Caenorhabditis elegans: one gene and its partner. The protein of the gene in region 1 interacts with the protein of each later gene in a pairwise test. Each region holds a gene or a part of one and is shown on either strand. Other genes may lie near its edges. The genes, in order: pik-1 and actl-1.

Region 1 (8,954 bases):
ATCTGAACCCTTGCTTTTTTAGACCCAAAATGACTCAAAACTACCGAATTGTGTAATGAGACGTTTTGGAAATTTCTCAAAAAAAAAAGTTATGGTGGCTCAAAGTTCTGGAAAGAAGGCTAATTTTCAGCTAAAATCAACATTTTTGTCTAATTCTCGGTGTCGCAGCGTCTGGAACTTAATTTTGATTCAATTATCACTTTTTAAAGAATATTTTTGTTTTTTATTAGGCGTTTATTCGTTGATTTAAGTACATTTATTGTCAGTGGGGCACAAAAATGTAACTTTTATTTGTGTCCCACTTACCGAAAATATGTTTAAATCAACGAATAAACGCTTAATAGAAGACCGCAATAGTCTTTAAATAGTGATAATTACATAAAAATGATGTTCCAGACGCTGTGACACCGAGAAGTTGACCAAAATTTTGATTTTAGCTGAAAATGTGCCATTTTTCCAGAACCTTCAACTGCCATAACTTTTTTTTGAGAAATTTTCAAAACGTCCCATTACCAATTCGGTATTTTTGGGCTATTTTGGGTGTAAAAAACAAAGTCTCAGATTTCGGTACTCCAGCTTGAAAGTAAAATTGTTATTGCCAGACCTCCAAATTATGGAAAAAAAGCAAAAAAAAAGCTGAAAAAAAGGGAAGAAAGAAATGACATTAATAAGGTAGATCGAATGCCTTCTACAATATTTGACCTCATTGGTTGTAAATCGTTTATGGTGTGGAGATCAAATCTGTGCGCGCTCACCTGTATATCCATTCTTTTATTATTGATCTACTCTTCCAGTGTTGCAAAAACATCTGTTTTCTAGGTGACATCTCCAGAAGAATGTGCCAAGTAATGGAATGGAAGAGAGAGAAAATGTAGAGAGAGGGAGAGGGATGAGACGACGAGAGGAAGTGACGACACTCCGCTTTCCTCCGCTTTTGGATTTATTGGAATTTCAGAATTGTTCGTTTTATAAGTTTAATTAAATATTAAATTTTAATTTTAATTTAAAATATTTTTATTTTTAAAAATATAATAAAAACACATTCAAAACATTCTATACATTTTTTCAAAAAACCAATCAAAGGAGGAGTTTTATTGCTTTATTATACTCAAAAAGGCCCGAATACCCCGAATTTTATAACGAGAAAAAAATTAATTTCGAAGAAAAAATAGAATTTTCCCAATTTTTCGTTACACAACGGTTAGAAATTGATTTTTATTTGATTTTTCTTCTATTTTGAATATTTTTATTGGTTTTCTTGCGTTGTTTCGTTAATTTATCATCTAAAATTTTAATTTTTAAATCCAAACTATTAAATCAACAAAAAAACAGAAGATAAATAGGAAAATGAGCAAAATAGGGCAATAGTCAGATAAAAATCAATTTCCGATCGCTGTGAAACGGAAAAGTTGGTGAAATTGGAGATTTTAGCGGAAATAAACCTTTTAAAAGCATTTTTGAACAGTCTTGTTATGAAATTCGATATTTTGGGACCATTTTTAGTTTAATAAAGCAAAATAATTTTTGATTAGCTACTCTTTTAAAATTAAACTTGTTAAAATTGTTTAAATACATATTTTTAAAAATAATCTGGAATTTTTCAGAGACAATGGATGATTCTCTTGGAGTATCAGAAGTTGTAATGATTCCATTCATGAAACGAGAAGTTCTCCAGCAAATATGTGCGATTTTAGATACGGATAACACTTGGGAGACGATTGGTTCGGACTTTTTTATAACAAATCATTGAAATTTCGCGGTTTTTGCTCCAAAAATAGGGTCTCGAAACGACAAATTTTTGTTATATGCGAAACGGTGTGCGCCTTTAATTCTTAAAGCACTTTAAAGAATAGTTATTTCAAACATTCGAATCTGCGGATTTTTCATCGAATTTTTTTATAGTTTTCCTTTAAAGGTGGTGTAGTCGAATTTTTGTTATTGCTTTATTAGACTCAAAATTGTCTGAAAACACCGAATTTCTTAATAAAACTTCTAAAAAAAGTTATGACAGCTTAAAAAATGGCCTAAAATAAGTTAAAATTTGAAATTTGACCGACTTGTAAAGCGGCTGGAAACGAACTTTTTTGAAATCACCGTCTAATTGTAGGTATACCAGTTAATTATCTTGCGTTTTCAACTTGATTTAAGTATTTTAAAGTCTATGGACGACGAGATTTTTAACAATTTTTTTAAACCAAATCTCGCCGTCCATCGACTTTAAAATACCTAATTGTAAAGTAGTAGTCGAAAACGCAAGTTAATTGACATGTATACTCAAAATTTGACGGTGATTTCAAAAAAATTGTTTCCAGCCGCTTTACAAGTCGGTCAAATTTCAAATTTTAACAAATTTTAGGTCATTTTTTGAGCTGTCATAACTATTTTTTGAGAAGTTTTCAAAAAGTTTCATTATGAAATTCGGTGTTTTCAGATAGTTTTGAGTCTAATAAAGCAATAACAAAAATTCGACTACACCACTTTTAAAGGCGCACACATTTTCGCATTTAACAAAACAATTGTCGCGTCGAGACCTAGACAGAGAAATCACAAAATTTCACGTCTGGGGAATATAAATAGCAAAGTGTTCAAATATCCATAATTTCAGCACCTTACATGCCCGGAATTGAGTTGAGAGATGTTGAAGGTTGCAAGAGATATTCAAGTTATAACCAAAGTCCATCGGAGTTACTTTTAAGAATATGGAGCTCGAAAGGATACTCGACAACTCATCTTTATCAACTTTTTGCGAAAACAAAATTGATTCGATTGATGAGAATGATGAGGTCACAAGGTACAACTAATTGTTGTTTCTACTACAAAAATTTAAAATTTTTAATTCACAGTACATGAGAAGTATCATTATTTGGAGAACAAGGTCACAAATTCGACGTCTCGAGTTTCGAAACAAATGGTCCAACCGCCGGGGTCTCAAAGTGCGTCTCGTTTGAAAAAAACTGAAATAAAAGAGTCATCTCCGTCACCAGCAGCAGCAGCAGCTTCTCAGTTATCCAGGTCATTTTAGACATTTGGAAAAAATAATTGGAATTAATATAACTCTTAATCAGTTTTTTTTTTAGTTTTCGGAAAAAATTGAACTGTTGAAAAATTAAAAAGAGAACATTTTTCGTTTTACGATTTTCGAAAAATAAAAACAACGAAAAACCGACATACATGATTTTCGTCATGAAATAACAATATTTTTGCCTGAAATCGATGAATTTTTACAACTTGCTCGATTTCAAATGATTAATTTACTGCGAATTCATCTAATTTTTTGAGAAAAACCATCCCTTTACTTGGAAAGCATCGTTTTGTTTTTCTGCTGAAAACTACAGAGAAATTAAGAATTTGCGGGTTTTTACACTAAAATCATCAGCATTAACACTTGAAAAAAGAAATTTCCGGCAAATTGCCAGAATTAAAATTTCCGGCAAATCGGCAAATTGCCGGAATTAGAATTTCCGCCAAATAGGCGAATTGCCGGCAATTTGTCAAATTGCTGGAATTGAAATTTTCCGGCAAATCTGTAAAAATGCCGGAATTGAAATTTCCGGCAGATTGCCAAAATTGAAATTTCCGGAAAATCGGCAATGTGCCGATAATGAAAATTTCCAGTAAATCGGAAATTGCCGGAATTTAAATTTCCGGCAAATTGGCACATTGCCGGAATAAAAAATTTCTGGCAAATTGCCAAATTACCGAAATTGAAATTTCCGGCAAACCAGCAATTTGTCGATAATGAACATCTCCAGGAAACCGGCAAATTGCCAAAATTGAACAATTCCGGCATATTAGCAAATTGCCGAAAAAAAATAATTCGCGGGAATGTTCCAAATTCAAATATTCTAGTCACAAACTTGAATTTTTAAATTACTGTAAACTTCTCCTCGGGGAGTACACGAGCTGTGTAAATCGACACGGCGGCCATTCTATTTTTAGTATGAAATAGTTTTTATTTATAATAAAATAATTTTCAGAAGTAACACTGACGATACACTTCGTGTAGCAATCGAAGGAACACTTCCAGTAACTTATTGTGAACTTCTCGAAGCAACTAACGGCTTTGCTGTGAGCAATGTAATTGGAAAAGGTGGATATGGAACAGTATATAAAGGAGAATTAAAAGGAACTGGAGGAATTGTTGCAGTGAAAAGATTACATTCAGGAAATGATACATCACAGAATGGATCACGAGAACGACTTCGACAGAGTTTAACAGAATTACGAACACTGGCAAGATTTAGACATGATAATATTCTACCAATTTATGCATATTCATTGGAAGGATCTGAACCATGTCTTGTATATCAATTTATGTCAAATGGATCATTGGAGGATCGATTGTTGTGTAGAGTTCGTTCCGAAAAAATCTTGAAATAACTTGGAAAATTATGTTCTTTTTTCTGATCGAAATATACGAAATTTGAAAAAACTGGGACCTTTGTTTGTTAAATTTTTAATATTTTTTATTTTCAAAAAATTACAATTTTCGGTCGATGGTTCCAATTTCTAAACAACATCGAAAAAACGTTTAAAATTAAAAAAAAAATTTCATATTTGACAGAAAAAATAAACAAAAAATCGAATTTGTCCGTAAAACGAAACAAGAAACAAAAAAAATTTGGATTTTTAAAACATACCAATTAAAACATAATATTCCGACAAAAGTCCGAAAAACTAAAAAAAAAAACTACAGCCCTGATTCCGATCAAGGCTGCCGATTTTTTGATTATTGCCTAACATTCGAAAATTTTTAATTTTCCTATTATTTCATTTTGATGAGAAAAACATAATTTTTCAAAAAATAAGAAAAATTACCACAATTTTTGTTGTTGGATTTTTGAAAATGTATGATTTTCGCTTTTATAGTGAAAATAAGTAAAACAAATTCAGAAATCCCACAAAATAAAAACGGAAAAAATCGAAAAGGAAAGTTTTCAAATTTCGAAAAAAGTTGAATTTTTGGATTTTCGAGTTTTTTAGAATTTTGAAAATTTTTAAATGTTCAAAAATTAGAATTTCTTCGAGGTGAATTTTTTTTAAAAAGGGGAATTTTCCAGAAAAAAAAAGAAATTTTAAAAATTTTGAATTGTTCAGTTTTTCGAGTTTTCCGAAAGTTTGATACTTTAGAATTTTCAGAAAATTTGGACATTTTGGAATTTTCAAAAATGAAATAAAATTAAAAATTCATGATTTTCGGAAAAAAAAAGCTTTTCAAAATTTCAGAAAATTTAAAATTTTCGAATTAAAAAATTGGTTTTCAAAAATCTACAAAATTTATGCTTTGAAATTTTCTGGTTTTCGAATTCCCAACAAATAACATAAAATTTAAACATTTTGGAATTTTTTTAAAATTCTGTATTTTTCGTCTTAAAAAAGAGACTGGAAATTGTAACCAGAGTACAAGTATGCTCAAAATTTTGAAAATGTTCCAGAAATTGTTTTAAAAAAACTCGTTTCAAAATAAAAAATATTAGTTTTTCGAGTTCTCGAAGAAAATTTGTTTTTCGAGACCAAAAGAAACAATTTTGGACCGTAAAACAAAACTTTAAATCCAAAAATTTTGAAATATGAAAAAAAACCAAATTTTATTCTTGAATTAATTTTAAAAAATCGTGAGAAAGTAGAAAAAAATTTTATTTTTTAAATCTAAAAAAAATAAAAAATAAAAAACCAAAAAAGTCCCAGCCCTTGTACGAATAGGTATTACTTTTTCTTCTCAGAAAGGAAGTGTACCTCTCACGTGGATTCAACGAAAAGAAATCAGTATTGGAGCAGGTCGAGGACTCGGATTTCTTCATTCTTTCGGAAAAACTCCAATAATTCATGGCGATATAAAAACAGCGAATATTCTTCTCGACAAGCATATGGAACCGAAAATCGGCGATTTTGGTCTGTGTAGAGATGGACATGTTGAAGCTGAAGCAATGGAAAAGCATCCATTAATTGCTTCACATATCAAGGGAACACTTGCTTATCTTGCACCAGAATTCATTACATCAAAGATTCTTACCACAAAACTTGATGTCTATAGTTTTGGAATAGTACTTTTGGAAATTGCATCTGGTCAACGGGCATATTCGGATTCTCGTGAAACTCGGGGGCTCGTTGAATATTGTCAGGTTAATAAGGAATTGGCAGCACATCGGAAGATTCCAGTCAGAGAGATTTTTATTGATCGACGAGCGCCGCCACTTGTTGGTGATGAGGAAAAATCATTTTTGGATGCTCTGATTGAAGTTGGATTAGCTGGAGCGAATAACGATCGGAAAGTTCGACCGACTATGTCACAAATTGTTGAATATCTTTGTAAAAATTCAATTCCGCCAGTTGTCTAATTAATACTGTGTACCTTGCCATATTCCTCGAACTCGAAATTTTGCCATTTTTGAGTCAAAACTACGGTAGCGGGTCTCGACACGACCGCCTATAGAGATTACTGTAGCAGGGGCTTTTTTGGCAAATTTTTATATCCGGCAATTTGCCTATTTGCCGGAAATTTCAATTCTGGCAATTTGCCAATTTGCCTGAAAGTTTCATTTCCGGCAATTTTCCGATTTGCCGAAAGTTTTCATATCCGGCAATATGCTGATTTGCCGGAAATTTTTATTTTCTGAAAAATACCGAGTTGCCGGAAATTTCAATTGTGGCAATTCGCCAATTTGCCGGAAAGTTTGATTTCCGACAACTTGCCGATTTGCCGGAAATTTCAATTCTGACAATTCGCCAATTTGCCGGAAATTTCAATTTCATTTCGGTAAATTGCCGATTTGCCGGAAGTTGTTATTTTCGGCAGTTTGCCAATCTTCCAATTTGCCGGAAATTTTCACATCCGGCACTTTGCGTATTTGCCGGAAAATTTTATTTTTCGCAAATTACCGATTTGGCGGAAATTTCAATTTTGGCAACTCGCCAATTTGCCGGAAATTTTTATATCCAACGATTTGCCGATTTGCAGGAAATTTCAATTCCGGCAGTTTGGCGATTTGCCGGAAATTTCAATTCCTGAAATTTGCCAATTTGCCGGAAAATTTTCAGCAAATCGGCAATTTGACGGTTTGTCGATTTGCGGAAGTTTGAAATTACAGTACTCTTAACAAAAACTGTCGCTTCGAGACCAGATACAGTATTTTTGGCGCGAAATCGCGAACTTTTGCTTCTGGATAATAATTATTTATTATATATTTTTTATTGAATCTGTTTTTTTTAAAATATAATTTAATTTCTTCCCTTCTTATAACTGGATGTAAACCATTTTCCCAATTTTTTGAAAGTTTGAAATTTCAAGGTATTTTTCCAAACAATTCTCCAGAGATGGAAGAGGTTGTTCGATTCGAATGTCGGGACAGTAATCTTGAAATCTACGTGGTTCAACCCGGAGAACGTCTTTCGATTTTTGGATCGTGCTCGTTTTTGTGTTTAGGTAAAAATTTTGGGTTTTTGCTATGAAAAAAGACGAAAAATTGAAAATTTTTTAGATATTCTTTCGGTTTTTGTCTAAAAAATTTTAAAAATTTATAGTTTTTTCAGTTAAAAAACAGTTTGCTTTTCAGTTTTCCGGTATAAAAACTTTAAAAAATTTAGTTTTTTTGGTTTCAGAAAAATGAAAAATCGAAAAATTTTCAGTTTTAGATTTTCAAAATTTTAAAATTGATTTAAAAAAAGTTTTTGACTAAAAAAAATTGAAAAATCCAAAATTGTTTGTTTTGTTATTTTTCTGTAATTTTTCAAAAAAAAAAAATTTGTTTTTGATTTTAAATATTTGGAAAAATCGAAAATTTTTGGTTTGAAAGCATTGTACAATTTTTATTTTCACAAAAAAATCACAATTTAAGAAATCGATTTTTCAAAGGCTTGAAAAAATCTGAAAAATTTTCGGTTTTTTGAAAAAGAAAAACAGAGAAAAAACGAAATATTTCATTTTTCAACAAAAAAAAACAGAAAAATCGAAAATTTTCGTTTTTAGTTTTAAAAAAATTTGAAAAAATATAACATTTTACAGTTTTCGTTTCAAAAAAAAAAATTTTTTTTTTGAATTTTCTGAAAAAAATTTCTAATAAAAAAATCAGAAAACTCAAATGTTCTATTTTCGGTGTTCTTGAAAAATTAATTTTAAAATTGAAAATTGTTCGTTTTCTATTTAAAAAAAAAACGCCACTACAAAGTTTGAAATTCAGCTGGAAATGCGTCAATCAACGACTACAACCTTCCGGCAGTTTCGTGTGAATCGAGCAATTTCATGAAAATCTCGGCACCGCAGAGAATGGATGTACCGGTACAAAAAGTAAATTTCGACTTTTTAGAAATCAAAAGAATTTCTTCAGGCAATTCTACAAGTTTTTAAAAGTGGACCTTCTTATAAGCATGCTCGTCTCAAGTTTCGACTGAAAGAGGTTGCACCGAAAAATTACGAGAAAATTATGGAAATGATTGGAACCACGGAGCCATCTGTCTTTATTTTCAGCAAAATTTTAGATTTTGCTGAAGAGACAGTTTCTGGTGTTGTTTCTGTATGTTTTTAGGTGTATTTTTGCTTTGTAATAGTCTCAAATTCAGAAATACCACTAAAACAAAGGGCAAAAAAGATAATTTACAGAATAAAAAATTCTAGTGCATTTTTCAGTAAAAAAGAAGTAGAAATTTTCAAAATTTTGAATTTTTCAGCTTTTCGGGGTTTTGGAAATTTTGATACTTTTGAATTTTTCAATAAGTTTTCAAATGTTCAAAAAAGTTGTATTTTTGGAATTTTCAGAAATAAAATTAAACTAATAATTCATGATTTTTGGAAAAGTTTTCAGAAATTTTGTATTTTTAAGCTTTTCGAAATTTCAGAGCATTTTTAATTTTCGAATTAAAAAAAATAGTTTTGAAAAATCTACAAAATGTTTAGTATTCAGAAATTTAGAAACTGTGAAAAAACTTAGATTTTCAGAAAATAAAATAATAGCGAAATT
Region 2 (6,520 bases), on another chromosome or scaffold:
AGGGATAAGAAACAAATGTCAATGATGAAATGATGAAAAAAGTTAGGCTTTTCTTTATAAATTGGTGCAGTGATGCGAATCGGTAGGGCTTAATGAAACTTGAATTAATGACAGATAAATTGGTGGTCCGAGTGCTTTAAAGCATGTTTTATGTGGATTTTCTTAGGGCGCAACACAAACTTTTGCTTGCTCCTTCTGTTCGTGCTTTGTTTCGTTTGCCAGGAGCACCACAATCAAGATTAAAAAAATAACAAAGATCTTTCCATTACTCACTCTCACAAGCAATAAAAAGTAAGGAAAAAACAGGGATGCAAAGAAAAAATTGTTATCGTTGGATGTAAAGTGACTATGACTATCATATCAAATCTTTTTCCAGAAGCTGTTGTACATCTAATGCCGTCTGATAAGCTTTGCCTATTATTTTGGTTAATATTTTTTGAGATGATCTCCTCCTTCTTCATCATGCCAGTCGATTGCTAATCCACTGTTTGAAAAAGGAGAAAATAAAAATTGTCAACTAGGAAACCTTTCTCTCGAAACCTCATTGGCACGTATTTCGGGGAAAATAATTGTAAAAGCGTCCAATGAACTCACAAAAATTAAAATGTTAAGATGGAATATTGCCAATGGGAAAAGTGAAACAATTAATTTCGTGAAACAATTTTGCATCAAACTTATTTCTCAAAATTCAAAATTTTCAACAACTTGTAATTGAAATTTTGATTATGAACCGATGTTCCCGGTTAGCGAAAAAAGGGTGAAAAGTATTGAAAGCATAGGATTTCCATCTGAGCGACTGAGTTTGCCAAGGGGTTTATGAAAACATCCCCATAGTTGTTACTCTCAATTATTACCACTCAGATTTTGTCTCAATCTCTTCTTCAAATTTGTTCTGAATATTAGTTTCCGCTAATTTAATTAAAAGCGCGGCAGATGTGTCAGCTTCAATTGAGAAACTGAAACCTATAAAAAGATGTGAGAAGAGTGGGGAAAAGTTGTCTAGGATAAAAGTGCTTCACAATTATGAATTCATAGTGTTCAAAGATAGAACCTTCTGTAAGATTTATTTCATTAGTGTATAATAAAATCTGGAAATTGAAAGTCGGAAACAACATCTTAATAGATTAACTGAGAAAATTGAAAGAAAAATACTGTTTTTGTAATATGAAAAAATGTGGATAGTAAAGACTGTCTGAGAAATCTAAAAAAACACGTGACTGTCATCAAAAAAGTGTACAATGAAAAAAAAGTTCATCAGATGCTACAATGTATAGATTATTGGCTCAAAATACCACATGGTGTTTATTGTGTAATACTGTAGTTCATGGAATCCTCGTGATGATCATTTGCATTATTGTGTGATTGTTTCTTCACTTTTCCATCTCTCAGAAGACGCTTCACAAATGGTTCAAAACTTCCGGGGAATGGATATTGATTCGTTACAGCTGCCCAGTACGTGTCCGTTACTTTTTCCACTTCCTATAATACACATTTCACACAGTGTAAACATTTTTGGAAGCCAGAGAGTTAGATGTCCAGCCATGTATTTTCAGAAAGATACTGCAATCTTTAATTAAAAACGAAGTTTTTAAATGTGATGTTAAGACAAATTAATCAAAAAATTTTGTAGAAGGTGGAGCAGCTATATTTGAGTCTTTATTTTATCAGACCAAAAATGATCACAAAATTCCGACGTTCGTAATGAGAAAACTCTAAAACTTCTCATAAAAAATAACGGTAGTTCAGTTTTGGAAAAAAAACCCTATTTTCAGCTGAAATCTCAAATTTCGCCAACGTAATGAATTAGGCTCACATGAAATTTTACTTTTGCAAGTTGTGGTTTTGTCGAGTATACAGAATTGCGATTTTAGATGAAAATACAATATTTTTTCAATAGTTTGAACCGCCATAACCTGTTTTTGAGAAAACTTCAGAACCTCATCACAAAATTGGGTACATTTGGTCTTAACTTTAATGAGCAATGTCCCCAATTTTGCTACTCCATCTTTGAAAATGAAAATAATTGCCTCAACATCGAGATATAATTTTGAATCAAAGATTTTCACTGCATCAGTTTTAAAAAAATTAACCTTTAACCTAACATTTAACCTAAAACCTTCTGGATACCAGAAATTACTCCTCTTTCAAAATACCAAACTCACCGACATAAGTACACATCTGCCTCGTAAATTGCGATTGCCATTCATGTGGAATTCTACATTCAACTTATCACTGATTGATTTTCGGAACTGAGGCATTTTGCTTTTGCTGTTCGGTTTTGTGGCTTCTATGTAAGATTTATTGAAGCACACAACAATATGCGGAAACTGGAAAATGCAAAAAATTTTGTAATCAGTAATTTACAATCACAAACAACTTAGAAAAAGTTGAATAATAATAAAAAAAAACATTGCCCACGATTTCTGGAAAAATGAAAACTAAATCCGTAAAAAAAAAACACCAGAACAGTATTAGACTTACAGGGCTTTAAAGTCTATAATGTTCAAATCTTTCAAAAAACCAAAAAGTTGTTTCCGAAATGTTACACAATGAAATACATTTGAAAAATTGAAACTATTATCAAAAAATATGAATCGCACAGGCCACGTGGCTTTTGTTTTTTATTTCATCTTTATTTACGCTCCTCCCACAATTTTATTTTCGGAGAGAATTTAAAAATTGAACTAAAAGTCAAACATGGGAGGAGCCTAAATAAAAAAGAAATATAATAAAAAAACAAAAGCCACGTGGCCTGTGCAATTGTTATTTTTTGATAATAATTTGATAACATGCCCCCGAAATGACTAGACTTATTGCCAACTCACTAGATCATAATGCTTTTCCAGCTCCTGAAACACGTTTCCCCGATCATCCTTCTCCCACACCTTCACATCAAAAACTTCCAAGTCTTTTCCCTCCTTGCGTTCTTTTTCTAAAACATTTTTCAAATTGCATTTAAACCATTTGAAATCTTCCTTTTCTTTGGACGTAGTTTCATAGTGCAACAATAATATTTCTGAAACAATAAATGTATTAGGTTCCAATTACTAAAACTTCAATTAAAACTTGCTTTTCCTAGCATTCATCGAATGTACAGGCTCCGCATATTCTGAAAATGTAGTTGTACTTGCCATGGAGTCCGTGTCAGCAAATGCAAACATTGGTTCGGGAACTGTAATTACAATGTGCATGTATGAATTAGTTTTAATAATATCAGTCAAATTTAAAAAATTGTTACATGAAAATGATAACTCACCATTTTTCAGATAACTGTTGGAATCTATATACGATTTAAGCTTCACTAAAATATCGACTCGTTGAGCATATGCTAGAGCATTTACAAGTATTTGAGCGTGCATATCTTCAAATGGCTTCCACGATAGCTTGCTATTTCGTTCCCTTCCTCCTATCTCCTGAAAACAAACTTTATAAACGTTGAAACTATTTTTGAAAGTTACCGAGTATTCAATGCCGCGCAAGAAACTTGAAACAATCTGCCATGATCCGGCCGAAACCGTTGTTGGGACATCTAGATTTGCTAAAATCAAATCTCGTATTTCTTTCTTGAAGTTTTTGATTCTGTAATCGATTTTTTTACTTGACGTTTTTTATAGAATAGAATGACATACCGAATGTTTGCAGGTAGGGTAATTCGAACATCAGATACTAAAATTGGATCATCTATGTGAACGTCTTCTAGAATATCTTCAACGCATTTGTCGGATAACTGAAATTTTCAAGATGTATATTTTGTTAACATTTTATTTGGAAATTTGAACAGGAGTATAAGAAACATTTTTTAATACTGTCACTTCGATCAAATGTTTTGAAAAATTGCTTAAAACTGACTCAAATATCAATGTGCCGACAAAAACAGTAATTCGGAACATTACAACTTTAAGTCGCATTTCGAGCAACTTGATAGTACACTTCAAATATATTCAATCAGTTTCTTTTTTACACAAAAATCTTTTGAACTACCAACTTACCACATCAACCTCCTCCCAATCATCGCCATCAAGATCCAACTCAATTGTTACGTCCATTTTCATCTTAGTCATTTTTCGCTTATTACTGTATGTATAATTATTTATAAATATAGTAGACAATTTGGCATTAACCATTGGATGTTCAAACTAGTTTTTACTTAAAATGGATATTTCATTTATTATTTTTTATCACTCTAGAAATTTAGAGAAATTCTTACTGAAGGGTAACAAAACAAGTAGGCGTAAGTGAAAATTGGTAGACACAAAGTAAGGACACTTCAGTAAATGGGGGTGGGGAAATGGATTGACACGTATAAATTAAATAGTTTGACGAGTTTTTGACCAGATTGTGGAAAAAATTATACGGTTAATGAAGGAAACTAAGAAAGGTGAGTAGATGTTGAGATGCTAAAACGATCAAATGCAAAAACATAGTTTCAAGGAGAAGAAAAAGTACATTTTAATGTTGGTATTTTCGGCCCGCGAAGTTCAAAATTTTTTAATCAAAAATAAAATAGTTGTTTGAACGATTATTCGGTGATTTCATTTTCAGTTGACACACTGACTGGCTCCTCGATGCTTTTGCCATCAACAACTTTTTTAACCATTATTCTCATCGACTGCATGCAGGTATCCTGAATTTTTTTTTTATTTTCGATTTCGCACAAGATAAATAAAAGCTTACCTCAAAGGTGGGTTCAATAGTCGTTGAGTGTACTCCCAAGTCGTGGAAATAATTTTTAATTTTATAAGCAGCTTCAGGAAAAACTGCTGGGTGACATATGTTCACGTGGGCGGCAGCAATGATTCGTTGCCCACACAACGTCCACACAGACAGCTTTTCCACTTTGGATACACCAACAATGCTGCACAAATCTTTTTTCACCTTTTCGAGGTCGAGCCCTTCTGGGGTTTGCTTGAGCAGCTTTTCTCCCGATGTTTTGACAAGAACCACTGCAGTGAAACCCATGATGGAGGCCAGGGAAATACTGAAAATTAACGGTCCTTTTTAAAATATTATACAATACAATTTTATACAAAAATACAATTTTAAAATACTGAATGGTGGAGTACAGCCAGAGAAGACTAAATTTAAAAAAAAAACTATTATGTGGTTTCATAATTACTAATAATAACATAAATCTTTTCTAAAAACATTGAATGTTTTTCTTTTAAATGTTTTTCTTGCGAGTCAAAAAGTTAGGAAAACTGATCTTGAGCCACTTTCCGAGAAATCCAAATCAAAGTTCGAGCCCCTGTAATGCTGGAAAATGGATAACAACCGAATCGTGGTATAAAAACTGAAAAAAATTGTTTTTGATCCTCGACTTTAGAAAAAATTGACAAAAAGAGTTTTCACTGTTTTCCGACTCGCAGTTTTCCAAAATAAAAGTTGACATTTTTTAAATGATTTTTGGTGGTTTCAGCACTATATGATTATAAGTGATTTTAAGATTGGTTTGTTTTGAAGCTTTTCGGCCAAATTTTATAAATATTACCTTAAAATTGGATCCAAATAAGCGGCAATTTTCCATGTTGGCAAAAAGTATACAAATCCGGCAGAAATCATGACGATCACAGATCCGAAGGCATCCGACAATAAATGAAGCCAAACTCCGTGAATGTTCACATTTTTGTCTTCTACAAACATTTCGCTACACTATTTTGATTTAAAACATTTTCGAATGAAAACTAGAGTTTTCTCAAAAAAAAAACTCACTTTTCTGTTCTGTCTTTTGAGCACTTTTATCGAGATTGTTAGAAGACACATTGAGAACTTCACTGGCCATGTGTGTTCCATATGGTGTCATTTGACGATCGACCGTCGCGATGATGGTATTCTGACTATTAACTCCAGAAAGACGACGTTCAATAATGTCATTGGAGTTGTCATCATTATCCAGTAGTCGCACATTGGCGTCGGAGTTTGCCATCGCAGAAGCACTTCGAAATTTTCCATTCAATCTAGTGTGATCCGGCTCTTCTTCACCATTGCAATCACTTTTCCCATCATGAGAGTGTCCATGGCCATTTGCATGACTGTGACCATGCCCATCATTTTTCTTAGTCTTCTTGTTATTGTGACTGTGACCATGACTTCCTCCGTGACTGTGACCATGACTTCCGCCTCCATGACTGTGACCGTGACCACTCAAGTTGAACATACCGAATAAGTTGATTAGCAATCCGATGAATCCGATGACAAGTACTTGTAGAGGGTGTGTAATCATGTGTACATTGATGATACGTCCAACTGCCTCTTGAAACACGAGAACACATACCGTACACATAAAGATTCCGTTGAAGAATCCTCCAAGTGTTTCAGCACGGACCCAGCCGTATCCGAGGCGCGTGGAAGGGCGAGTAGCGATCTGACGAATAATTGGCTTATAATTTTGCATTATTGTCGCTACAAGACAAAAAGCAATGTTTCTCTGACTTTTGCATAAAATTGGCAGCGACTATATATTTAAATTTTGGGTATTTATGGGTTTTGTTTTATTTTTAGACTTGACTTTATAAAGGTCAAA

The links.
Region 2: the proteins of pik-1 (region 1) and actl-1 interact in binary tests that used the Caenorhabditis elegans proteins (3 or more experiments, as listed by UniProt).

Annotation. Positions count from the first base shown.
Region 1 is NC_003282.8:13,415,188-13,424,141, forward strand, and holds pik-1 (Pelle-like serine/threonine-protein kinase pik-1), read left to right. Parts: upstream 1-1,604; 5' UTR 1,605-1,609; coding exon 1,610-1,721; intron 1,722-2,605; coding exon 2,606-2,791; intron 2,792-2,843; coding exon 2,844-3,012; intron 3,013-3,977; coding exon 3,978-4,353; intron 4,354-5,723; coding exon 5,724-6,338; 3' UTR 6,339-7,204; downstream 7,205-8,954. Other genes in the region: Transcription factor aptf-2, read right to left, coding at 756-767; Polynucleotide 5'-hydroxyl-kinase nol-9, read left to right, coding at 7,315-7,423, 8,178-8,275, 8,325-8,510. UniProt on the Caenorhabditis elegans protein: Through association with the adapter actl-1, may act downstream of the receptor complex composed of ilcr-1 and ilcr-2, which is a signaling complex that modulates neuronal activity and animal behavior in response to sensory neuron input.
Region 2 is NC_003284.9:6,495,776-6,502,295, forward strand, and holds actl-1 (ACT1-like protein), read right to left. Parts: upstream 4,062-6,520; coding exon 3,990-4,061; intron 3,728-3,989; coding exon 3,630-3,727; intron 3,580-3,629; coding exon 3,459-3,579; intron 3,414-3,458; coding exon 3,257-3,413; intron 3,173-3,256; coding exon 3,071-3,172; intron 3,017-3,070; coding exon 2,826-3,016; intron 2,328-2,825; coding exon 2,163-2,327; intron 1,480-2,162; coding exon 1,303-1,479; 3' UTR 1,028-1,302; downstream 1-1,027. Other genes in the region: cdf-1 (Cation diffusion facilitator family protein 1), read right to left, coding at 4,520-4,624, 4,675-4,978, 5,489-5,630, 5,710-6,361. UniProt on the Caenorhabditis elegans protein: May act as an adapter to facilitate downstream signaling for the receptor complex composed of ilcr-1 and ilcr-2, which is a signaling complex that modulates neuronal activity and animal behavior in response to sensory neuron input.